Linked DNA regions of Nothobranchius furzeri. The protein of the gene in region 5 purifies or fractionates together with the protein of the main gene of each other region. This does not show direct contact. Links are inferred from orthologs where the notes say so. Each region holds a gene or a part of one and is shown on either strand. Other genes may lie near its edges. The genes, in order: polh, shprh, slf2, slf1 and rad18.

Region 1 (3,600 bases), on a different chromosome or scaffold from region 5:
GATCTTTTTAAGTACATCTGTAAAGGTTTGGGGTTTTTAGCCGTGCCATCACAAACCAAGACTTGGGACTTTAGCGTGACTCACAACAAAAGGTGGGGTTTGTTTACAAGTGGCCCATCAGCTGATGCAAGAGGAAGCAAAAGCTGCTTGTTTGTGTTTTACAACATACCAACACTACAAAAAATTTAAATATTAACCTAAATGGTTTCAGAATTACACGTTAAGTCTTGAGATGATTTCTAGAAACAGAAACTAAATACAACTACAGTTTAAATCTTTTGTAGCATAAACATTAAAGCTGGTAAATTGTAGTTTTGTGTCGTTTCCTCTTAATGATCTAAAACTTAAATTTTTGTCCCTAAAAACACCGCAGGTCCATCTCCTCTGAGATGAAACATACGTGGTCTTTCCAATACATTGCATGGTGTGTTTCTAGAGACTGAAATCAAACTAAAACTTTCTTTCTGCAAAGGTGTTTTGTACTTTTTAATTTGACTTAATGTCAGAATTGATGACACCAGATTGGAGCTTTAGGATTGATTCCCTTACTGCTTTTGGAGGATTTAGGGGGGGATTGGTGGTGTTTGGGCAGCTGCCTTTTACATTTAGAAGAACTGATCAACTAATTGTCCAAGGACCGTGTAGGAATGACTCATTTAATTTGACTTTACAAGTTATCTCAAAGACTAACTGCGTCTTGAATTTGTAATCAAGATTCACACCGACTCCTGAACCACACTCGTCTGCACACTACTGCCATCTGCTGTTACGCCAGAACACTACAACACACTCTCTGCATGAAGTTGAAAATATTTTTTATCTGTACAGGTTTACAAAATAAAGCTCAACAACTAGAAATGCCCTTTTAAATTAAAAATAGGACCCAAAATACACATGTTAATATCCTCATGAAGCACAAAAACAACTGATTCAAAACAAGTCTTGTTGTATTCTGGTTGTCTGGCTTTCCTCTGGTAAAGATAATATAAAAACATCTTTGTGTGTGTGTGTGTGTGTGTGTGTAAATATATATATACACAATGTTCAGAAATAAATACTCATGCCCTAAATGTTTAGTTCTTTTTGAAGAAAGCATCTAGAGTACCCACACTGCCCCCTAGTGAGCGTTGTCTCTTTGGTGCAGGACCTGACTGACCTCTGGTTTTTGTTTTGCCTCGGGACGACCGAGCAGATGGAGAACCACTGGAGGAAGATGAGACGGTTAGATTTGGAGGCAAGCTTCCTGAATTTGTAGATGAAGACAGTGAATTCTGGAGGTCCAGGGCGAAGTGATAGTCACGATGCTCAGGCATTTCCCACACCAGAACCTCTACACCACAACGTTCACACTTTAAAAGGTCTCCTCCTAGCGCACTAGAAGTACTGTCCAGATGGCTTTCCGGTTCCTCCCTTACCTCTTCTTCCTGTGACTGTGTTGGTATTAACTCTGGGATCATTTTTAACTGCTGGCCAGATGCAAAAGCATCAGTGCCTCTACCGGCACATGCATCATTGTGACCTGAAGACACGTTAGAGCTTTTTTCAAGACTCTTCCTATGAAAGAAAGAGGAGATGCCAGGATGGGAGCTAGAAGAGTCAGTTTTAGAGTGGGAGACACTTTTGAAAGGAGATTTTTGTGAGTCACTTGCCATCTCCAGCTGGCAATCGGTGTCAGATTGATCGCCAACAAAAGGCGGGAGAACTTCCTCTTCTGTGTCGCTTTTAACTTGCTTTTGTTTTCCAGCTGCTTTTTGAAAGAAGGACTGAATGGTACCATGCTGACTACATGGAGGCTCTGTTTTTACGTCACAGGATGGCTGGGTGGAGGAGAACAGAGTCTGGGTTGAAGTTCCTTCACTGGACAGAAATCCAGCAATCCCCCCAGCAGACGGAGCATCACTGAATTTACTAGCAGAGATGTGTAGCAGGGTGAGGGGGGGAGACCTGGAAACATGTCAGACACATGATCTAAATCATGCAGCATTCCCTCAAAACATACATCAGCCTTTTACGTCATCGCTCTTTAATTACCACGCAGCCTGGTGGTTTCCTGCTTTGTTGAGACTCTTGATCAGAGCAAAGCTGTCACTTGATATTTTGGTCGCCTCGTAGCGTGCTAAAGCACAGCATCGAGAGAAGCCGGTCGGCCGCTTATCGCCAAGCTGACGCACGCCAACCGTCAGCTGCTTTGCCACACGATTATTCTGTAGTGCAGCCAGAAAACACGGGTGTGAGACTAGTGGCGTGCTACAGGAATACGAGGACACAACGAGCCAAGCTGTAATGAAAAAAAGCGATTACATTTAAATAATTCTCACCACTTCTTTGTCTTTGGCCAGCCTCTCCTCCAACTCCAGGGCCAGCTGATGAAGCCAGTACTGCACCTACACGGAGGTTTGATTTCAGCATCAGGACAATCTTTGCAAATAATAAATGGAACTAAATAATGACATTTCTCATAGTTCTGGTGTCTTTTCCCCCCACGTCAGAGGCATAAACCTTTCAGAGAGTAACAGATTATGTTGAAATACTTTTGACAGTCCTGTACCTGATCCTTAGTAGCCAGTGACGTCCTCCCGGGAAAGTTTTTACTGCAGCCAATGGACTTGGGAAGCTGTCTGGGTTTCACAGGTTCAAACTCGATCCCCCGACACAGGTCAAACAGCCACTGGCTGCAGCGTTATGTTGGTCATAGAGAATTTAAAAAACATGTCAGCAGTTAAGGTCCATTTCAAATAAATACAATTCTGTGTGAAAAATGTCAACCAGACTGTCAGAAAACTTAAAATGGTTATTTGAATTATGTTTTATTTTCACACCCCAAAGTCCCAAATCTCTAAATCTAGTCTCGAACTGTCCTACAAGTAGACCTTTTATTCGCCAGTAATCCTGTGAAACTGCATTTTCTCACCCCGTTTTTTCTCCAAAGTGCTGCCCCAGTTCAGCCTGAGAGAACCGAGTGAGATCTCCCATGTTCTCCACTCCCAGGGTTTCTGTAATCGACACGCCCAGCTTACCCCCCAGGTTTCGACTGCACAGGAGAAATTAAAAGTACACGAGTACAGACTTGTATTTTTCCACTGCTACATCAGAAGATCGGCGTTTTTGTGATGATTAAATTCTTGTGAGACTTTAAACTCACATTTTACTGACAGGCAAAGAGCTGAAAAGTTCCCCCACAGAGTCCAAAGGTAGAATGGTTTGTCTGTTAGGTTTGTTCAGCCCACAGGCCAGCTTTGCCAACACCTTAAAAGTAGATGGTAGACCATGATGGCTGCAATAAAATGAATGTGGCGTCTGAATTGTAATAGAATTTACCGTACCTTGTTGTGTGATATTCCCGCTGAGCAGCGGAAGCCTGTGTGTTGTTCCACAGCTGCTCTCATTTCCTCAATAATGAGAGCCCCCACGGTTAGCTGCAGCTCTGCAGAGCTGTGCTCCCCCGAAGATGGAGCAGGTAAAGATGCCAGCCACTGGAGGAGACCTCTGGATCTCTTCTCCTCTGCGGATAAAAATCAAGACTATTTACACAAATTCAATTTATAGTTTTAACATTTTAGATGATGTTACTTCCAACTAGGGCTGAAACGATTCCTCGAG
Region 2 (5,232 bases), on a different chromosome or scaffold from region 5:
ATAAGTAGCTCGGATATAGGTGAATACGGCGTTGACTGAGGCGCCTTTGCCAGATCGCATCTCCTTTATTGCATTAAGTAGCATGACGCGCACAGCTGCAGGGAGACTCACATGTAAAAAGTGAAACTACTTTACTGATCGCCTGTCTGAGAGGACTTCAAGGAGACATACTTGGGTGGGATATTTTCATCTTCGGCTGAGCTTCAGACTTGCAGCGTATGGCATTCTCTCTTTCCAGCGGGCGAGGAGGAACAAAATAATTCACAGATTTTCCCTGAAGAAGCAAAAGATTAGAAGAAAACAACAGAATTGCATTTTACATTTAATTTTTTTTTAAATAGAAGAAAATCCAAGAAAATAAATCAAACACTCCTCACCACAGGCAGCGTGAAGGCATCCTGCTGCAGGTCCTGACGAGTGTGAAACAAGATGAGCGCCAAAACCTCCACAGTCTTACCGAGCCCCATCTCGTCAGCCAGAATCCCCCCAGGCCAGTCGACACCAGCCAGAGGAAACTCTCGAATTAAACTGGACCAGAAAGAAAACCGAACAGTTAATGGTGCAAGGGGAGTGAGCGGTAGAGACCCAACAAAGACGTAACCCATCGTAATGTCCAGTAACTAACTTATCTGGTTATTTTAATCATTAATGTTTGTAACTTTAGGACCGTTTGTTTTGTGGAAAAACAGAACAGACTTATATTTAGGTGAATGTTAGATCTCTTACTACAGAATTGTGATTTTAGGAGAAAAAGATGGAAACATGAAAGGTTTCCACCGCTTGGTAACAGTTTGTTCATGTTACATAATAATAAACACATCTGTAGTAGATTTTCTGTTTTGTTCCAAATCGATTGTCAATTGAAAAGTTAAAATCAAACAGCAATCAATAATGTACCCTGGACTGTTTTTACTACGGACCATGACTACGGTGGATTTAAATGGCCCCTGGACAGATTTTATTAAGTTTCGTTATTCTAGGATGTTTGTAAAAGTGTCTATATGAAGTGATTATTTAACACAAAACATTGCTTTTTCTCTTACCAGCCAGTGAAAGGATTGTAAAACAGCTTCTTGCCACACAGAGTAATTAACTCTCGCCAGAGGAAATGCAAAAACTGTTCTATAAAACAAAAAGTAAAGACAGAGTTGTACAATATGAAGCTTTGCTTAAATGATCTCTGTATTCTCAAAAACACACATAAAGTTCTCCATCTTCAAAGGCCTGGAGGGAATACCTTTAGGAGCCGTGTTCCTGTATTTCTCTCTCCTCAGCATCCAGTTGACCGCCTGGCTCTGATACCGTCTGAGAAATGGAATGAGAGCCTTGTGCTGGACATCATAGGTCGCACCCTGGTTCTCCTTCTGGTGCACGAGTCTCACGTGATCATAAAGTTCCTCCACATTCTGTCTCTCCAGGTCGGTGTCGCTCTCTTCCTCTTCATTCTCTACAACTTCTACAAAGAAAGTGTTGTTTTTATCTCGCTGCAATGGATCATAATATTACCCAGTAGGCCCACAGACCCACCAGGAATGATGAAATCGTAGAAATATTCCATTAATTTCTGCATCAGCTGATTTGCTTTCTTCAGACGAGCATTCCCCTCACTGAGGAAATCCGGCTTTCCGAGTCCAGTTTCCAGCAGGTAAATTCCCACCTGCCAAGCACAGCGATGATAATGTGTTCATTAAGAATAAAATATTAAGCAGACCTTTAAATATTGCCTTGTTTTGAATAAAAGATGAGTTTAAAAAAGGGATCCAGGGCACAAATTTGTCCATTTTGAAACGTCAATGCTTTAACGTGGTAAAATGCTAATTACGTTGTATCACAAATAAAGTAACGTTCTATCAAAGTAAGACACACCTTGACTTCCTGATCTTTGGTCTGATGGCAGAGCTGCACCACCCTCCTCTTCTGCAGCCAGTCGAGTTCTTCCAGCAGAATCCGACTGAGGTTACACTCGGCTGTACAGCTGTCGTCGTCCGGCCTCCACTGCAGATCTGAGCTCTCATCACAGCTGCTGTAACTGAGGTAGAGCTGCTCACCTTTCCTGTGAACTGTAAAAACCTTCCACTCATAGTCAGATGATAGCCAAACCGGTCGAATGATGAACTCCCCAATGAGGGCTTTCCAGATGTGAGCCAGCTTCAAAGCTGGCAGCACGGACAGTGCCAGCGAGGGCAAGGCAGAGGTGCTGTCTGAGGCGGTGCTGGGAAACTCTTCTGAAAACCGAACAGATCGGGAACAGGGAGCCTCCGTCACGTCTTCAACAACTGAGAGAAAAGAGCTGCCCGGGGTGGTGTCAACTGAAAGAATGGAACAGGATGGCGTCTGGTCCTCTTCCTGGATCTCCTCATTCTTGCGATCCTCAAACATGTTCCACTCCAACTGTCTCTTGGCATCTTCATCCACCCTCGCGGGTGGGGCCCTCTTTCTTCGGCTGCTCATGGTGACGAACTAAAACGAGAACAATAGAAAAAAAGCTTCAAGTAATTATTACTTATAATAACAATCTTCCAAAATTCTGCTATTTTGGCATTTTAACAAGTGGACAATATTCCCATTAAAATATCCCAAATGTGACTTAGAACACACACTCACTATCAACTTTATTAGGTATCTGTTTTTAAAAGCATCCAATCACGTGGCAGCTAATTAAGGGTTCAAATCAAGAAATGAGATTTAGGTGACTTCGAATGTGTCATAATTATTGAGGCCAGACAGGATGTGTATTTTAGAATTTTTAGCCACAACCACCTCTAGTTTACAGAGACTGGTCCAAAAAGGGGGAACATGTCCAGTGGGTGGCTGTTGTGTGGATGAAAATGTCTGAGAATGAGCAGACTGGCCGTAGATACGAAAAAGAAAGCATCAGCTCAAATAGACAAGGTAGAATTACTGTTAGTACTAGCTAATATCATCACTATCAAATGATAAAGTTAACGTGACAAACGTTTGGAAAACTACCGCTGCTAATGTTTACATATGCTAGCAAGCAGCTAGCCTGCTTTTCATTTTTCTAAATTATCTTTTTCTGGAAAAAGATAAATATAACTGGAAACGTGGGTGGAGTAAGACTCTGGGACAGGTGTTACTTGCCCTTTAACAAAACTTCTGTGGTTCTGTTCAGTCTTTAGCACCAAGTATTGAGCCTTGGTGCAGCATAAACAGTACTACGTTATTTTAACGTTTTCTAAACAAGATAAGTCATTTTAAAAACGTGTTTACTTTTCGAGCCTCGTTTGAACCGATCCGGTTGTTATCACGGAATCAGGAGCTGTTTCATAATGAAGCAAATCGGATCCTGAAAGCACCAAAACAGTTCAAGTGTCCACAGCAAAGTAGATGGTCGCCATTTTTTCATACAGGAAATGACGTAACTGGGTGTAGACATGTTGTACACAATAAAACTACACATTTCGTGAAAACCTAGAAACTCGCCTCTTCTTTTTTGTTGTTATGGAAAATAAGCATTAATATAAGTATTTTACAACAAATTGCACTTTAGTGTTTGTTGAAGAAAACGTGGCAATGCCAAATCAAACTTCATGAAAGTTTTATAATTTCTCTAATTACAGCTAATAATTGTGAGTTTTGGGAACTGCTATTTTGTGGCCATATATATATATATATATATATATATATATATATATATATATATATATATATATATATATATATATATATATATATATATATTGTTATCGTATTTAATTTTTGTAGCTTTACATTTGAAGATGCAGTCGTTGTACCGGATGCTGGCCACATGATGTCAGTAGAGAGTGAACCTTTTTTTCTGTTGCAGCAGTGAACTGCATCATCTCCACGACGCAGAGGGGATGATTCACGTGAAGTTTGACGACTCCTTTTATAGTAAGTTGTCCCTTTGGCGCGTGAACACCTTCACACCTCACATTCATTCAGCACAGCTATGCAGGCGTATCAGGTTACACCATCTCTTTTCGTTCATTTTCATTCATTTTTTGTGTTTTTTCAGTGTGCACCTGAACATTTCGTTATTTAAATGTCACTTTTCCTGCGTCATTGTCTCACCGGCATTTATAAACTGAGGACTGAAATCAGGGACACTGCAGTGAGTGTGACCCGCTTTTAGGATGCAGTGAGGAAGAGAAGAGGTGTGCAGCTAGGGAGCGGGAGGGAGAACGACACCGTGTTTTCTCGATGGAAGAGCTGGAGTCCAGTCTGTCTGAAACACACGAGACAGCGGATCCACTGTTTTCTGAGCTGCGTGGTGCAGGTGAGTAAAGTCATACATGCATACACTTAAAAATGCTGGAATTTTTAGCCTGATTTTGTTGGTTAAGCATCACCACAGGATTGCATGAATAATGTGTACAGTTGATGATGAAAAGCCATTCTGGCAGTGTGCATGTGTCTCTTATGTGATGCTTTCCTGGTAAAAGTTGAGGAAAAAAGACGGCAAAATATGTTCATTGCTCATTTGTAGGAGCTGCTGTCCGTGGTGCTGAAATCTAAAGATGTCCCAGTTTTAGAAAACTTTAGTCCTCAAAATCTGCCTGTTGTCTGTTTAGAGCTACACTGTAAAATATCTCAACTAATACTGCTTATTGTCTCACATACAGGATGAAATCATGAAGAAGCAGATTGGTGACATTTCTGATCTATACATACAGGACTGATGGGTCTCTAATTTGGCTGAAGAGACATGAATCTTTATTCATCACCTTCGGTATAATGTCAAACATGTTCTGCCTGACTGCAGTGAGCATTTTGTATTTGCCCGTTTTACTGTTTGAGGCATTTGTTTTGTCCAAAGGGAAGTATGAGAGGTCAGTCGTCCCAAGTTCTGCCTCTCGCCTGGTGGCCAGAATGGATGGGGACATTATAATTGGTGCACTGTTTTCCGTACACCACCAGCCATCAGCTGAGAAGGTGGCAGAGAGGAAATGTGGAGAGGTCCGTGAGCAGTATGGCATCCAGCGGGTGGAGGCCATGTTCCACACCCTGGATCGAATTAACTCAGACCCAAACCTCTTACCTAACATCACCCTCGGCTGTGAGATCCGGGACTCCTGCTGGCATTCCTCGGTTGCTCTGGAGCAGAGCATCGAGTTCATACGAGACTCTCTCATCTCCATCCGGGATGACTCTGAGGGATCTAAGTGGTGCATCGAAGGGGTGCCCTCCAGTCAGCCGCCATCAACCAAGAAGCCCATTGTAGGAGTCATCGGACCTGGCTCAAGCTCA
Region 3 (5,257 bases), on a different chromosome or scaffold from region 5:
AGAGCAGATCTCACGAGTCATGTGCTCACACTGTACGACCCAGTTCTCGCATGCGACCTGACTGCTCACACTGTACGTCTGGTAGCAACACGTCGGCCCTAAAAATATGCTAAAAATAGCAGTTTTTACTCAACACGTCAGACTTTTTTGTCTTGTTTTGCCTGTTGTCCTTCGGGAGTGCTGCAGGAGGACACACAGGGATTTATGGGGGTTGGATGAGGAAAACGAAATAAAGAAAGTAAATCTGTGTTTAGTAGTCAGTTTAATTTGACAAGAACACAACAAACACGCTTTCTTGACAATCTTTGTGAGTAAAAAAACGTGTAGAAACAAAAACGAACAACGTGTGTTATTAGGGAAATAGCGAGCGGTGTTGATGCAGGATTGCGCATGCGCCGTGAGCGGTTCTGATACTTTTTGGGTCGCAGCTGCTTGCAGCGCCGCTTCAACAGTGCGATACCCTCACGGGGGCCGAGCGAAATATTAAACACGCCAGAAGTCCGTGCGACCTCACGACTGCTGATCGGCAGCTGGTCATGTGGTGTTAATCGCCCCTCGTAACCCCCTGTACAATACACGACCGCTCGGCGCAAAACTCGCCCCGATGTCGTGGATTCTCACACGACTGGAAAATCGGCTCAAAAAAGTGAAAAAGTCGCACAGTGTACGCCCGGCTTTAAATCTCTGTTGGCACGCCATTACAGTGGAGACTTGCTGAAGTTATTATCTCCAGCAAGGACACTTACGCCCCTTTTCCAACAATGCTACTCAGTCTAACATGGGTCGAGTGTAGTTGGTTTTCCTTGCCAACTCTGACAAAAAAAAAAAAAAAAAAACTCTAGTGGGTGTGCTCGTCATAGCGCATAGGGTGGGGGGACCTTGGGCACTTGCGCTAACATTGGCTGGTTCTGTGTGCTAAGCACTGAAAAGTTTGGGGAAAATACTGAAACCCTGCTGTTGGAAACAGCTGTCCAACAGAACAGAACCCATCCAAGTCACAATGGGTGGTGCTGTTGGTAGTGCTGATTTTTATTGGTAACACATTTCTCCCCTTTTTTTTTAATTAGGTTTATTTTGCAAAGTGCCATTCACTTTATATTCATTCAGTACTTTGATCAACATTGTTGTTTTAAATGTGTTCTGTAAAAAAAATGTTTGGAGCAGTAAGAATAAAATGGTATAAAAATTCTATGTCTCCAAAAGGTTGAGTACATATCAGTTACTGAGATGCAAAATGCCCACAAAGTTACTGAAAGCCAAATGTAGCAGGGTGATCGTTTGCAGCTGGGGGATGCTGCTTAACCATTCACCTGTTGAGGGCGCCCTGTTATAAGGACAGGTTTGTTCCCTTGGGTGATCACCTCTCACTAAACTTGGCGTTTACAACCGGGATGTCGAGCCGGTCGAGTATGTGGCAGTGCTTGGAACTCAGCGCAAACTATAAGTAAAATTATCCCTTCGGTGTTAGCGACTTGGGAGTCTGTGTTAATCATATTAATGCTCTAGTGGTGGCTGGTATCTGATCAGTCAGCTCTGGGACGTACCCGTGTTTCGCCGGCTCAGTTGGGCAAACCAACGTCTAAGGTATGTACCCTGCTTTTTTCATCATTCAGCTGCTCATTTTAATTAGCTTTTGGCTCATTTTAGAGTATGCACCTCCGCAGACTTTGCTGTTTTGCTTCTCCGGATTTTTATGATTAGTTCCCAGCTCCCACAAGTAGAGGACAGGAGCTCCCGGCATCGCCTGGCGTGCGGGTGCTTGGATGTGACAGCGGCCGGTCCCGCTTGACCTATACCAGATCGGATCCACGGCGGCCAACGACATCACCTCCTAGACTAGACTGTAGTGGGACTCCACTCAGGTCCAAGGAGGACCACCTCTCCGGTGTCTCCAGCAGTAAGAACTTTCGAGCTGTTTAGCTCTTTGTGCGTGGTGCACGTCTGGCACACATCTGAGCAAGACTGATTGCTCTTTTAAATAAATAATTGAAATTTTTTTTAACTTATTTCAGACAGCCTGCAACTCCTGGCTGGTGAGCTAGCAGGCTGTCCATCTTTTTATAATTTGTTTAGCCAACTGCTTGTTGGTTTTGTTTTTAACAGTTTCTTTCTTTTTTTGCAGGCTGTTTGATCCCAGTGGGGTACCATTGGCCTTGGTGGCGGGAGTTTTCCACGTGTGTGTGTGTTCCTTCACCGTGCACCTCCTGGATGCATGGCACTGGGTGTGTATTTTTTTGGTAGGCTGAATTAGACCCTGGTAAGCTTCAGCCTATTCAGGTTAATTTAGTCTCTTTTATATTTTAATAAAAAGCATGTTATTGGTCAGACCACGTCTCCTGCCTGATCTGTAGAGTGGACCTGTGTGTCTTTATTTCCTGGGGTGTAACTCCCCAGGTGGCCATGTGTGCTACTGGCAACTACTGCAATCCCTGATGCCACACAAACAAAATCTGAAATGTTTTGTTAAACTGTACAAAGTGAGTTAGAAGCTTTTGACACCAGTAACCTCAAGATCTCCTATTTATTATGTAATAACAGAGTATGTAATAACGTTTTTGACAATTATGAACAATAACCGACAGCAACAGCGTCACATGTGTTTTGCCTAACAGAACACAGTAATGGCGTGACTCGACGATGTTTCGACTCACCCTTCCTCGAAGAATGCTTCTCTGCAAGAGTTCTGCAGGAAAATCACAGAATCAGTTTCATTACGAAGAAAAACTCGACTAACACATCATATGTTAGTACTACTGCTATTATTGTCTCTTGTTTTTATTTTCATGATTATTTTGTCTCTTGTGCTTTAGCGTCATATGTACTTATTTCATTTAATCTTATCTATACTAGGTGTTTTTTTCTACTTCTGTGAATTTGACCAAGTCTGGAATAAAGAATACTTGACCTGACTTGTTAGCTTCAGCTAACAAATGTGAAACAACTCGGCATTTTGTTAAAAAAAAACTATAAATCACGGAATGATACGCGAGCTGATAACAGCAGCTGACATTTTAAGAGTTTAATGTGTTTACACTGACACATGGTGTTGTTACTTTGACGAAAATAAGACACAAAACTGCAGAAAAATCGAAAGCCATGTTTTGCTAGCGGTTGGATGGAATTGATTAGCTAGCTAACGTTAGCAAGCAGGAAAAGATGAGAAACGATTGAGTGCACGATGGTAATATTTAGCAATAAAACACACAATTGCACCACAACATTTGTCTTAAAACATTAATTGCAAGACTCCTTGACACAAACTTTAAAATACACATATGTCTCAACGGCAGGACAAATACATTAAAAACAAACGATTGCTAGGTAGGAGCAAGTCTGTTTCAGGAAGTTCTTTAGCTAGGTGGCTGGCAACGTGGTCTTTGTTATCTTACCTCGCAAAGTCGTGATTTTCCGTTGTTTTTTTCATGTTCTGAATAGTGACCTTTGTTCACGAACTGCATTTGAAATAACAAAGCCGAAAATCTCGCCGTTGCTGATGCAAATCCGTCTCCCGCCTGCCTCATTTAGAATTCTAGGATGTCCAAGGAAGGTCCCACCTTTCTCGCCTCTGATTGGCTGGAAGGGCTCTACTACGATTGGCTATTTCGTGTAAACAGTTTCCCCTCTCTGCAGGTTTTTGTGTTTACAGCCAGATCTCGAGGAGTTATTTGAAGAAAATGTGAACTCATCGCTATAATAAACATCCTTTCCTGTTTAGCAACAAACCAGGTTCAGTTTCTTTCATAAAAGAGCCTGAACAACATCAAATGTGAACTTGTAATAATTCTTGTAGCATTTTATCACACTGTAGACTGACTTTATATCTGTTGGCTCTATTGGGGTTATCTTAGTACTTCATTATTAGGCTATTCTGCTTTAATAGGTTAAGGCTGTTTACAAGTTAGAGCACATCTCTCATCATCAGATTAAATGTACTGTATATCATTTAATCAAAAATGAAGCTAAAGCTGATTATGATTTAGACCTATTTTTCACCAATTTTCATTATTCTAGAGAAAGAACAGACCTGATGCACACAGCTGGGCAGAATAGGGCAGATTTATTAAATTTCATACCCAGGTAAGGCACATATGCTTCAGAGCCAAGAGTCCAACAGTTAGATAAATGCAACAAGGTTTAAAATTCACATTTTACGTATTTCAGTTTTTTAATGCAACATAAAACATTAAATATTTTGCAAACCAGGACAGAATATTTATTCTAGCGCTAAGTTCACATTTTATTTACTAAACTCCACAAAACAGCTTTCTGCTGGAGGCAGGTCACAGTCAGCACTTAGCGAGGACAGCCAGTTTGCTGCTAAATGAAATAACCAATCGTAGTAGGGCATTTCTAGCCAATCAGAGACGAGAAAGGCGGGATCTTCCTTGGACATCGTAGAATTCCAAATGACGTCTCCCGCCTGCATGCGCGTCACTCACGAATTGCATTATGGTACTTGAAGACAAAATTCAAGCATCTAGCTCAAGCCCCCACAAGTGAGGCCAATTGGCGTGGCATTACTTTATTTAACAACGATTACAAAATTCTAGCATCAGTAATAGTCAGACGACTAAAATATGGAATTAGTGATATAATCCATGAATCCCAAAATGGCTTATACCTTGAAGCATGCTTTGTGAATCCCTTGTAATTTTCCAGTGCTGTTTTCCAATTATTAAATCCTTGTTTTGTGAAAACCAAACCCCTATCATTGTTCTTCCCCCCAAACTTACGACATGGGAAACAAAAGCACGCATTCAGCTTTACTGAGTATTCCAGCCAAGGTCTCTCACGATACCAGGCAGGGTAAAATGAGCGCATGTTCTCCCCAAAATGGCACTTGGGGAAAACAAGAGCGGTGGGTTGGGACGGTGCCCTACTGCTCAGGCCTGTGGGTGACACATTCCGACAAGATGGCGCCGAGTATGGCTGCCTCGTCGCGAGCTCCACCAAGCAACAGCTGTTTTTTGTGTTTACTACTTTTTCTTTTTCTTTATTTTTTCACGAGTAGCACATGTATCCTTGTGTACGACCGACAAACCTTACTGGACATAAAAGACGGATTTTCTCATTACTTTCCGGAGTCCAGGGTTTTCATCACGGACCCGCCGTTTGCAGATCCCACATTCATCTCACCTGAGACGCCTTTGTTATGGGCCTGTGGAGGCCGCAAGCGCCGACGCAGAGGGAGAAGATCTGGCGTTCTGGTTCGACTGAGACGGCGCACTAACAGACCACCATTACCCAGTTTACTACT
Region 4 (4,471 bases), on a different chromosome or scaffold from region 5:
TAAAGCGCCTACCATGTTAGCAGCCTGCACTATGAGCTGAGTGAGCTGCTTCACAGATCGAGACAACAATGTGGAGCGTTCCCACACAGTCCAGAAGGTTCCATACAGCAACGAACCAGAAGAAAATGTGGAGGGGGCTTGTGTCGCCTGGTGCCGCACAAAGTCTCTGCTGGAGGGAAAGGTTATCATGTTTCTGATTCTTACTCTGCAGGAAAATCCATTCTTGTAAGTGAACATAAGAATATGTAGGGATGCACGATATATCTGTATCAACATCTGTATCAGTCTGATGGGCACAACTGGAATGCTCAAATGGTCTTGTTCACTGAGAAACAGTGTAGTATTGCCTCAGTTTGAATTAAAATCAGTCACTCTGAGTTTCACATAAATCCATCCATCCATCCAACCATTTTTAGCCGCTTATCCCGAGTCGGGTTGCAGGGACAGCAGCCTAAGCCGAGAAGCCCGCTTCCCTCTCCCCAGCTACTTGGGCCAGCTCCTCCAGGGGAATTCAATGTATTCCCTGGCCAGCCGTGATATAGTCCCTTCAGCGTGTCCTGGGTGCTCCCTTGGGTCTCCTCCCAGTCAGATGTGCCCAGAAAACCTCACCAGGGAGGCGTCCAGGAGGCATCCTGACCAGATGGCCGAGCCACCTCAACTGGCTCCTTTTGATGTGGAGAAGCAGCGGGTCTACTCCGAGCCCCTCCGAGATGACCAAGCTTCTCTCCCGTTCTCTAAGGGAGAGCCCAGCGATCCTACGAAGAAAACTCATTTTGGCTGCTTCTCTCTGCGATCTTGTTCTCAGCCTGCCGGCTCAGCGCGCTCTTCACTACGACAGACCTGCGTTTGTGCCACCACACTTGGTAGTAATATAACCACAACGCCAGACTTGCGAATGCATATTACGCCTTGGCACAACAGGGGTAGGTGTCATGATCACGTGGGGAGTTACTGCCAAGCTTCAACCGGCAACTCTATTTAAAATGAAAGTAAAACAGGCAATAAGTTTCAGTTTTGTTTCCAGAACCAGCTGAGATGATAAAGTGGAGCGATGCAGAGCTCCAGGAGCTTCTCTCCATTAGCGCTGGAGGTCAGATCACCAGAGACTGAGTGACAGCCACCTCTAGGAGCGGCTTAGGGCTGCACACTGTATCGCAAATATATTATCGCGATATCAGCATGCGCAATATGCATATCGCAAAGAACAGCTAAATATTGCAATGAATGGTCAACTAAAATGTTTGCTACGCATAATTCATTCTGTCAGTCAAACAAAAGCATGACATTTTTTTGAACAAATCAAATATAGCTCTTCAGCCATTTGGCCAATTGGGTGGGTTCTCATAGGTTAGATGCCCACCCCCCGAGGTGGAAGGAACTTAATTTGGATGGTTAGCCAACACCTGAGTTAGCTTTGTTCTGCTCTTTCTGCTGATTCTGCTTTTCCACTGATCCACTGATTACCTTTTCTTGTTAATTTTCTTTTTCCCTTTCCTCACATCTTTTGCTTCTCTCATTTTTATGATTTTTTGTCATGATTTAATTTCTTTGTTTTTGATTATTTTTGCCCAAGTTAAGTTTTTATTTATCGCAAGTAATATCGCCATCGCAATATTAATCACTGTTATGGCATATTGCAGGTTTTCCTAATATCGTGCAGCCCTAGAGCGGCTTGTCAGAAAAATGTAAGGAGCATGGCTTGGATCGCAATAAAAAGCAAGTTATGTCCAAGTTAAACGGAAGTCAGCGGCAGTGCTGAGACTACCCCCATACCCCCTTTATACCGTAATCTTTTGTAAAAAAGGACACAATTACTGCCACGGTCTGAACAATTCTAAACAACATAAGGCTCCCTGATGCCAGCTCGGTGTTGGGGCAAATTGGCGGCATTGTTTTCTTAGATGCTTTTGACACCTCCTCCTCCTCCAACAAACTTCTACCTCATGAAAAAAGAGCACCAGAGCTTTTTTTTTCCTCATAGAAAATGACTCACAAAGCATTAGTCCATACTAGAGACCACAGCAGATGCAGTGAAAAAAAACTAGTGAATGAGACACTTAACGACTGATGTTCATTTCCATCTTGTTGCAGTTTGCATCTGTTTCAGGAGGGCTAGGGGGTTGGTTAAAGAGCAAGTCACTCCAAATCAACATTTTTTTGCTGATAAACTATATAAATGAGTGTCTGATCGTGCTGCAGACACGTGTAGTCAATAATTCGGCACTTTAGTGCATCTTAGTTAAAATTTAAATATTCTGCCTAAAACTGTCAGTGTTGCACCGTCATCAGGTAAAAACTCTGCACTGCATTTGAATTTAAATCTGCCGTCGCTATTGGCTAAGAGGTATACTATGATGTTAGATGGTGCATTATGATGTCACAGTGTTGTGAGTGTGTGTATTTGTTAGCGGCTCCACCCTCTCGGTCTGCTAGGCAAAAGCATTTGTTGCATTTTTCAAACAGGATGTGGGAGTTGAGTAAGAATCTGGTAGGGGGTGACTTGCTCTTTAAGTGTTATTTGTTCAAGCATGTGATAGTGACACAGCTCAGGATTTTGGGAGTGCTTAGGGAAGCAACGTTGGTGGTGTGATCGCTGTTACACAAAGTGTTGTCCTCATAACAGCAGTATAAATAACAGATATGGATCAAAATGATCACATTGATGAATCCCAAAAGTTAATGCTTTAAGAAAAAGATACTGACAGAGTATATTTAAATGTTTACCCGCTGGTGACAGAGTGAAGCTCCCCCTGGAAGAGCTTGAGGCAAAAAGAAAGGATGTCATAATGAAAATCAACCAGAGTCGGTAAGGTTGGTCCGGCCAGCGGGTGGCAGGTGATGTTGCTGGATAGACAGTACCTACAAAGAAAACCATTTTGCTGATCAAGTTTCAAAATGCTTAAACTGCTGATTAAGAGAAACCTTCAGGATATGTCAGATTACCTGATGGCCGTCTCCAGAAAAGGCCACAAGCCTGTCTTACACTGAGGACACTGCAGCACTTGAGCGTAGTATTTCTTCACCGAGTTGGGCGCCAGCCATGGCGGGTTGGTGAGGAGCAGGTTTTCCAAAACTTGGTGGAAGTTCCTCAGGAAGACGGATGTGGCGTTACCCTATACAATGTAAACACAGCAAGAGTTTCAGTTGATTGAAACGATTAGAGCGACTGCAACAATTTCCTGTGCGTGGAGAATTGTTAAAAAGCTTGCTTGAATCCAGCTTCTTTCTATTAAACATGTGCTTCTTTGACTGAAGCAGTGGATGTGTGCATGTGGAGCAAAATGACAGTTACTCTACAAGTCCTAGCTACAAATATTCAAAAATGTTGTGAAACCAGTGATCCACTTGCACCCCCCCGGGCTCATGCAGCAGCAGCAGGTGGGAATTTATACAGCCTGGTAATTCTAGTCTTACCTGCTGTGCGTATTGTAAGAGCGAGATCAGGTACGTCGCTGGTGGCAACAGACCAGGGAACGCCGAGCTTCTGATAGAGTCTAAGGCTTCAACGAAGAGGCCACACTCTATCATGGTACCGACGTTGCTGAAGTCTGCTAGTATCGCCTGGAGGAATAACAGAACAATGGTGAAATTAAGGGGGAGAGGAGGATATGGAAAGGAGGAAGAAACGTGGCACTCAACCAGACAGATGGTAGTAGGAAAAGGGAGCAGAAGGGTAATGGAAATAAGTAGCGAATGGGCATCAAAAGTTCCTGGGGGTCATTTCTGACCGTCGCTTATTGGCAAATAGCATACGGAGCGAGAAAGTCCTGAATGGAAATACAAGAGCACTTCTAATATCAATCTGACAGACGTCCACTTGGGTAAAGTACGGACAGGACGGTGGAGAGTATTGTTAATAGGTCTGCCAATCAAAGCTCTCAGAGGTGGTAAAATCGGTGACCTGGTTTTGATGCGCCCTTGCTCTTGGTGTCACTTTCCATTGAAATGTATGACATAAAGAAAATTGAATGACCTGATCTGCTTGATGAAACACAGAGTTATCTTGTAGATGTATGTATAGCGGTGATCGTGGATGGGGGTGGATACGTGCGTGAGTCTACCTGTGAGTGAGGATGATGAGGGTCGTGGTAACCTAGAAACTGAAGGAAGCGCAGTCTCGGCTGGCCCTAGGAGAGAAAATACACGTCAGCGATGTCGGGAACGAAACCAACAAACAAGAATCTTTAAGAAGGCAAAGAAACACACCTCCTTCTCAATAACAACACTCTTGAGCTCTGCCTCCAAATTAGAATAATCCTCGTCAAGATAACTGTCTTTCTCAGCCAGGTGATCTTGGATGTTTAATTTCATGTCCACACAGTTGCTCTGCCCAAATGAGAAAGGCAGATAGTTTTTCAGCATTATAACACCTTCCTCTTAGGTCGAGGTCCTCGCTACGAGGTAAAAAATCTTAGAATTTGGACGTTTTCGAAAGGTCTCTGCAAGGTCTTTAGTAAAACTGCACAACTTA
Region 5 (4,941 bases):
TCCAGTTCACACACAGCAGAGGACAACTTTCTGATGTTCTCTGCTGTTAGAATGTTTATCAAACGCTGGATGACTGAAGTTTTTAGTGCCTATGTAAAAGGCGCTGTTTTCGTCTGCCAGGGTGGGATTTTCACGGCATAATCTGCATCACATCTCTGTGCGTTCATCGTTTGTTTGAAGCCAGCCGACCTCCTGCAGCCACTTCTCCGTGAATACTCTTTTCTTTTGCGTTTCCGACTCAGTCTGGCGTTTTTTGGAGGCGGAGGAACACCAAAATAATTACTTAATGGAGCTTGCTTCTTGGACATCTTTAAAATGCTCCAGAAATGTCTTTCTTCTTTCTTCCTCCACAAAATCTTAGGTGTGCAAATGTGTGCTGCAGCTTTTTTCAGGTGCACGTTGTTTATTTTGACAGCGCATGCACACCTGCGGACCACTTATGTGCACACCTGTATATATATATCTGTTTCACAATGAACTAGGTCTTGAAGCTCCTGTGATATAAATATTCTGACAATACAAACTTATTTTATTCTGATAAAGATCTTTTATCTTCCTGCACTCAGAATGAGAAGGAGCTTTTCTTTTCTCTCTCGTCCTTTATCATCCCAAGGCTTTGTCTCGGAGCAATTGTTTGGATTCTTTCTGGAAATTTTTACATTTTAAAACCATGGAATTGGTAAGCTGGCCTTTGAATGCAATTCATACAATTTTTTCCCAACATTCACAATAGAGAAGGGAGCGCCCACATGCCCAGACGAAACGCACATGGTTGCACACATTTTGGGTTCCTGGTAGGAGTGGAATATTAAGTGTCTTTTATTGTTTTATATGGAGAATGCAGAAGACGTATGGATATTTGTATTTATGGTTACCACATTTCTGCTAATTGGAGTGGGTGGCAGTGTTTCCCCTACATAGACTCAGACGTGGGGCTGCACACAGTGCACGCATGCACCCGCACAACAGCTATTACTATTTCGGTTTTGTCCCCTCTGGCCACCTACACCCTCCCTAAACTGTTTACAACTCATCCTCAGTCCCCATAGCTTTTATTTTGGCTGTCTTTTTCATAACCCATCCCCTCCACTAGTCTCCTACCACTTTTACTAATAACTGATAGTTTATTGTACTGCTGTTTTATATCATGTGTTACTGTAATTATGTTGATCATTGTATGCTTGTTTTTGTCTGAGGAACACTTAGGGACAAGTGCGATATAAAAAAACTTCTTAATTTAGGATCCATTAAGGTTTTGTTAAAACATCCCGTGTATCATTGATGAATATTGCAGGGAAAAGCATGTTTGGTAAATAAGCACGTGGTTTTATATTACCTGTTAAGAGCAGTCAGATTTCCTGACACACCAAAGTGACGTGAATCTCTTACAGAAACAAGAGAAAGCTTTCCTCTTAAACTTATTGCCCACTTTGTCCTCGACGGGGAAAACAATTAACAGACGAGTTTGTGCAGGAGAACCAAGATTTATGTCCTAAAATAACGTTTCAAAGATTGGTATCTTCTGGAGGAAACAGAAGGTGGCTCTCAGAGGCAATAGCAAGTGGACTTTTGATGAAGAGCATCTTCTCCCATTGGAGCTATACTAAAAGAGACTGAAGGGTTCAGATTTAAACATTGAGGGACGCTTTCAGCAAACCCACAACAACTTCTCTAGAAATTGGTTTGAGGAGTACAGCAGCTGTTATGAAACTATACGAAAAAATGATAAAAATGACAAGAATAAATAAATTAGATAAAGCATTTCATAATACAACAATTAAATAGATACAATTTCTATATTGAAATATTTAAAAAGACCTGAAAGATGGAATAAATTAAACTTTCACTAATTCCATAACAGCTTCTTACAGCAGCTGTTAGAATGTGTTTCTTTGTTGCCCACCTGCCTACAAACTTAAACACACAGTTGGACGGAGCCTTTCATTGTGCTTTTAAAGAGAATTCCAGCAGTTTTCTTAAAGATTTTACTCTATTTTGCGTGACTAACAGCCACTCTGAGGTCTTTATTTCACACACGATGACACCGCTTTCCCAGATCTCTAATGAGCGTGTATTTATTCTAAAAACGTCTCAGCTTGATACTTACAATTGTGTGAGCACTTAGTCATCATTGTAATGTTGAGGAAGTCGAAGCAAATGGGACACCGAAGCAAAGTATCAATGCTCTGTGGATGAAAAAAGAAAAAGTGTCAAGACATTCTGCAGCACAACAGTGTCTGGTCTCGTCTACCACAAGTACTAATGAGGAATGTGTTTGAGAATCTGACCATAAAATGTGTCAAAGCTCGTGTAAACGGCAGCAAATGCTCAGCTGGTGGCAGTGATTTCACGTGCTAAATTTCTAGCTCACCATATAAAGTCAGAATGTTGTTTTTGATAAGCATTGTTTTGGTTATTCTTTGTAGAAATCTGTAAGTGCTGATATAAAAGATCATTTGACTAATGCATCCAGTAGCAGGTAATTATTTTTGATGAACCAAAAAGTACATGAGTTTTGTATTTTATTCATAAAGTAACATTCGTTTCTCAATTATTCTGCTTTATAGATAAAATTGACGCAATAAAATGTAACGATTGGAACGTTTTCACAATCTCAAATGTTAAACCAGTCACCAATTTAGTAGTGATGTGTTACTGTAGATAAAAGCCCTTCACAAACAAAGAGCACAACAAGCAGAAACCTGTAATAAATTTTTCTAACCACTAAATTATGTTAGAGCATCGCTAGTTATGAGTTTGCTAAACCACAGCCGAGTTAGTTGCCATTAGGTAACGTAATATAAATACACAAATAAGGCCAGACAGTTACAGCACAAATACCTAAATTAATTTCTACATAAGTACCTTTAAATTTACAACTTTTGGCGTGTTTCGCGCGGGTGCTAGTTGAAACATTAGCTGTTGCCACCGGCTGTTGCGCAACCCTTAGCTTCGGAGCTACGTGGGAATGTAAACAAAACCCGAATGTTTTTACGATAAAACAGTGATTACTTACTTTCAGACATGCTAAGCTAGGCGGGAAATCCTCTGCGGTCTGATGGGCCATGTCTGCGAGACACGTTTCTGATGTATAACAAAGTTGTTTATCTCACAGATTCAGGGGTCAGTATCCCGCTCGAAAGGATGCAAACCGCAAACTGACGTCAATTAACAACTTCCGCCGACGCGCCGAGACGTTTACTGCTAGTCGCGGAGCTGGGACGACTTACGGAACACTGCCCACAATTTTAGTCAGAATTTAGGACTAGAAACCATGAAATATGTCTTTTCTAATTCGTTTGTCACTCACTTCTTTTTACTTTTTGTTTCTCTATTGGGGAAATCAGAATTTTCAGCATAGATGAAAGAAAAGCAGAAACTAAGGACATAAATTTGGATTATCTTATTTCTGAGGTACATGTAATGCATCACAAAACCAAATGAAGTTTGTGGAAACTGTTATTTTCAAAAGAAAAAGCTGTTTTTTAGTGCTGATATTTCAGTGTTTCGATTGATCACATCAATTCTGACATGAATATAAGGTTTGAGTAAAATAATTTAAAAATAATTAGATTATTGATTGAATTCTGTTCTAAAGTTTCTTTGACGTGTCACAATATAGGCTAAGTCTTTGTTATTGTAGTTATTTTAACGTTTGCCTCACAGTACTTTCTTTAATAGTGTATCAGATTCCCAATTAAGTTGTCTTTCTTTTAATAAATGTTTTCATTATTGCAATTTCAGTTAAAACCCTACATATTCTTAATGTTTTATTGTTGTGAGCTCTGGCGTGCATGCTATATTTCATAGTAAATGTGGAGGTTTCCCCCTTAATAAGATGCATAAATGTTTCTTGCAAAATGTACAACTCTAATAATAGGCTGACAAATAGAAAAAGTTAAATACACTTGTTTTGTTGCAGGGTAAGAAAGAATTTCTATGTTCCACCAGAAAACCAGTGAATAGAGAAAATGTGTATTCTAGAACAACTGGCTCAGTTTTGTAGTGAAATAGAGTGATGTAACGATCTAGAGTTGTATTTTAATATACTGTAAGTAGATCTAGTTTTTATAATCAGAAGAATAGGTTGTTTTTATCATCAGGGAGTTCATTTAACACTCTGTATTGACCTTGAGACAAGAAAAGAGAGAGTTGGGATCGTTTAAGAATTTTATTATAAATTCTACAATCTATCAGGACTAACTCTGTGTTGTTTGGAAATGAATGTGATGTTCAATGTGTGTGTGTGCGTGTGTGTGGTTGGTTCAGACTCCTTAGGCTGACGTCATTGAATCTGGTAGTCTTTGATTGTTATGACTAGATATCACGAGGCTTATAAAGTGATGACATGAGCTGCTATTTTGCCGTGTACGTACCCAGTGGGGGCCTCCCAGGTAGATCAGGAAATGCCAGGTCTGAAGACCTCGGATGTGCGCTGGAGCTGGTTGAAACCGCGGTCACAGCGTTTCAAAGCCCGTCTGAAGGGTCGACCCAGGTAACAATCGGCAGCGTCAGCAGGTGCTCTTATTTTGAAAGGATGTCGTCTGGTTGTTAAACGACGAAAATCTCCAACTTCACAGTTCTTAGTTTAAAGAAGAAAACACATCTGGCCAGGCTGTGCTTCTCTTTGGGATGACGGTGAATAGAACTGAAGTCAAAATGGAACTGAGCTTAAAATGGCGTTGCCTTGTTTTATATCTCTGAATTGTTGATAAGTTTTAGTAAAGCGGATTGGACACTTTAAGTCAACAAGCCAGATTCTCTTGCGGCAGCCGAAGGCTCTGATTGGTTGGAGCAATGTGTCATGCGTTGCCATGGGGATGAGTGTCAGTCTGTCTGTGCATGTCGTCCTGTTTACTCATTAAACACATAAATCATGACATCTTTATTTCACAGATCATTCACTTGATTATCATTGATCAACATATGTTTTGCTTAATT

The links.
Region 1: the proteins of rad18 (region 5) and polh purify together in Homo sapiens (affinity purification with western blotting; 7 studies listed by BioGRID, with this or other methods). This does not show direct contact. The link is inferred for Nothobranchius furzeri from reciprocal best matches to the Homo sapiens genes RAD18 and POLH.
Region 2: the proteins of rad18 (region 5) and shprh purify together in Homo sapiens (affinity purification with western blotting; 3 studies listed by BioGRID and IntAct, with this or other methods). This does not show direct contact. The link is inferred for Nothobranchius furzeri from reciprocal best matches to the Homo sapiens genes RAD18 and SHPRH.
Region 3: the proteins of rad18 (region 5) and slf2 purify together in Homo sapiens (affinity purification with mass spectrometry; 3 studies listed by BioGRID and IntAct, with this or other methods). This does not show direct contact. The link is inferred for Nothobranchius furzeri from reciprocal best matches to the Homo sapiens genes RAD18 and SLF2.
Region 4: the proteins of rad18 (region 5) and slf1 purify together in Homo sapiens (affinity purification with mass spectrometry; 4 studies listed by BioGRID and IntAct, with this or other methods). This does not show direct contact. The link is inferred for Nothobranchius furzeri from reciprocal best matches to the Homo sapiens genes RAD18 and SLF1.

What each region holds. Positions count from the first base shown.
Region 1 is NC_091752.1:33,815,318-33,818,917, reverse strand, and holds the end of polh (DNA polymerase eta), read right to left. Parts: intron 3,503-3,600; coding exon 3,324-3,502; intron 3,247-3,323; coding exon 3,143-3,246; intron 3,032-3,142; coding exon 2,912-3,031; intron 2,673-2,911; coding exon 2,549-2,672; intron 2,385-2,548; coding exon 2,319-2,384; intron 2,205-2,318; coding exon 2,032-2,204; intron 1,945-2,031; coding exon 1,074-1,944; 3' UTR 799-1,073; downstream 1-798. UniProt on the Homo sapiens protein: DNA polymerase specifically involved in the DNA repair by translesion synthesis (TLS). Due to low processivity on both damaged and normal DNA, cooperates with the heterotetrameric (REV3L, REV7, POLD2 and POLD3) POLZ complex for complete bypass of DNA lesions.
Region 2 is NC_091758.1:20,356,271-20,361,502, forward strand, and holds the start of shprh (E3 ubiquitin-protein ligase SHPRH), read right to left. Parts: upstream 3,370-5,232; 5' UTR 3,232-3,369; intron 2,461-3,231; 5' UTR 2,452-2,460; coding exon 1,867-2,451; intron 1,658-1,866; coding exon 1,528-1,657; intron 1,457-1,527; coding exon 1,238-1,456; intron 1,123-1,237; coding exon 1,044-1,122; intron 529-1,043; coding exon 378-528; intron 275-377; coding exon 172-274; intron 96-171; coding exon 1-95. Other genes in the region: grm1b (metabotropic glutamate receptor 1b), read left to right, coding at 4,720-5,232. UniProt on the Homo sapiens protein: E3 ubiquitin-protein ligase involved in DNA repair.
Region 3 is NC_091752.1:20,525,923-20,531,179, forward strand, and holds the start of slf2 (SMC5-SMC6 complex localization factor protein 2), read right to left. Parts: upstream 3,546-5,257; 5' UTR 3,425-3,545; coding exon 3,390-3,424; intron 2,684-3,389; coding exon 2,652-2,683; intron 1-2,651. UniProt on the Homo sapiens protein: Plays a role in the DNA damage response (DDR) pathway by regulating postreplication repair of UV-damaged DNA and genomic stability maintenance.
Region 4 is NC_091757.1:41,832,785-41,837,255, forward strand, and holds part of slf1 (SMC5-SMC6 complex localization factor protein 1), read right to left. Parts: intron 4,327-4,471; coding exon 4,207-4,326; intron 4,128-4,206; coding exon 4,062-4,127; intron 3,562-4,061; coding exon 3,415-3,561; intron 3,114-3,414; coding exon 2,944-3,113; intron 2,860-2,943; coding exon 2,725-2,859; intron 170-2,724; coding exon 13-169; intron 1-12. UniProt on the Homo sapiens protein: Plays a role in the DNA damage response (DDR) pathway by regulating postreplication repair of UV-damaged DNA and genomic stability maintenance.
Region 5 is NC_091743.1:47,198,433-47,203,373, reverse strand, and holds the start of rad18 (E3 ubiquitin-protein ligase RAD18), read right to left. Parts: upstream 3,175-4,941; 5' UTR 3,068-3,174; coding exon 3,017-3,067; intron 2,187-3,016; coding exon 2,108-2,186; intron 1-2,107. UniProt on the Homo sapiens protein: E3 ubiquitin-protein ligase involved in postreplication repair of UV-damaged DNA. Postreplication repair functions in gap-filling of a daughter strand on replication of damaged DNA.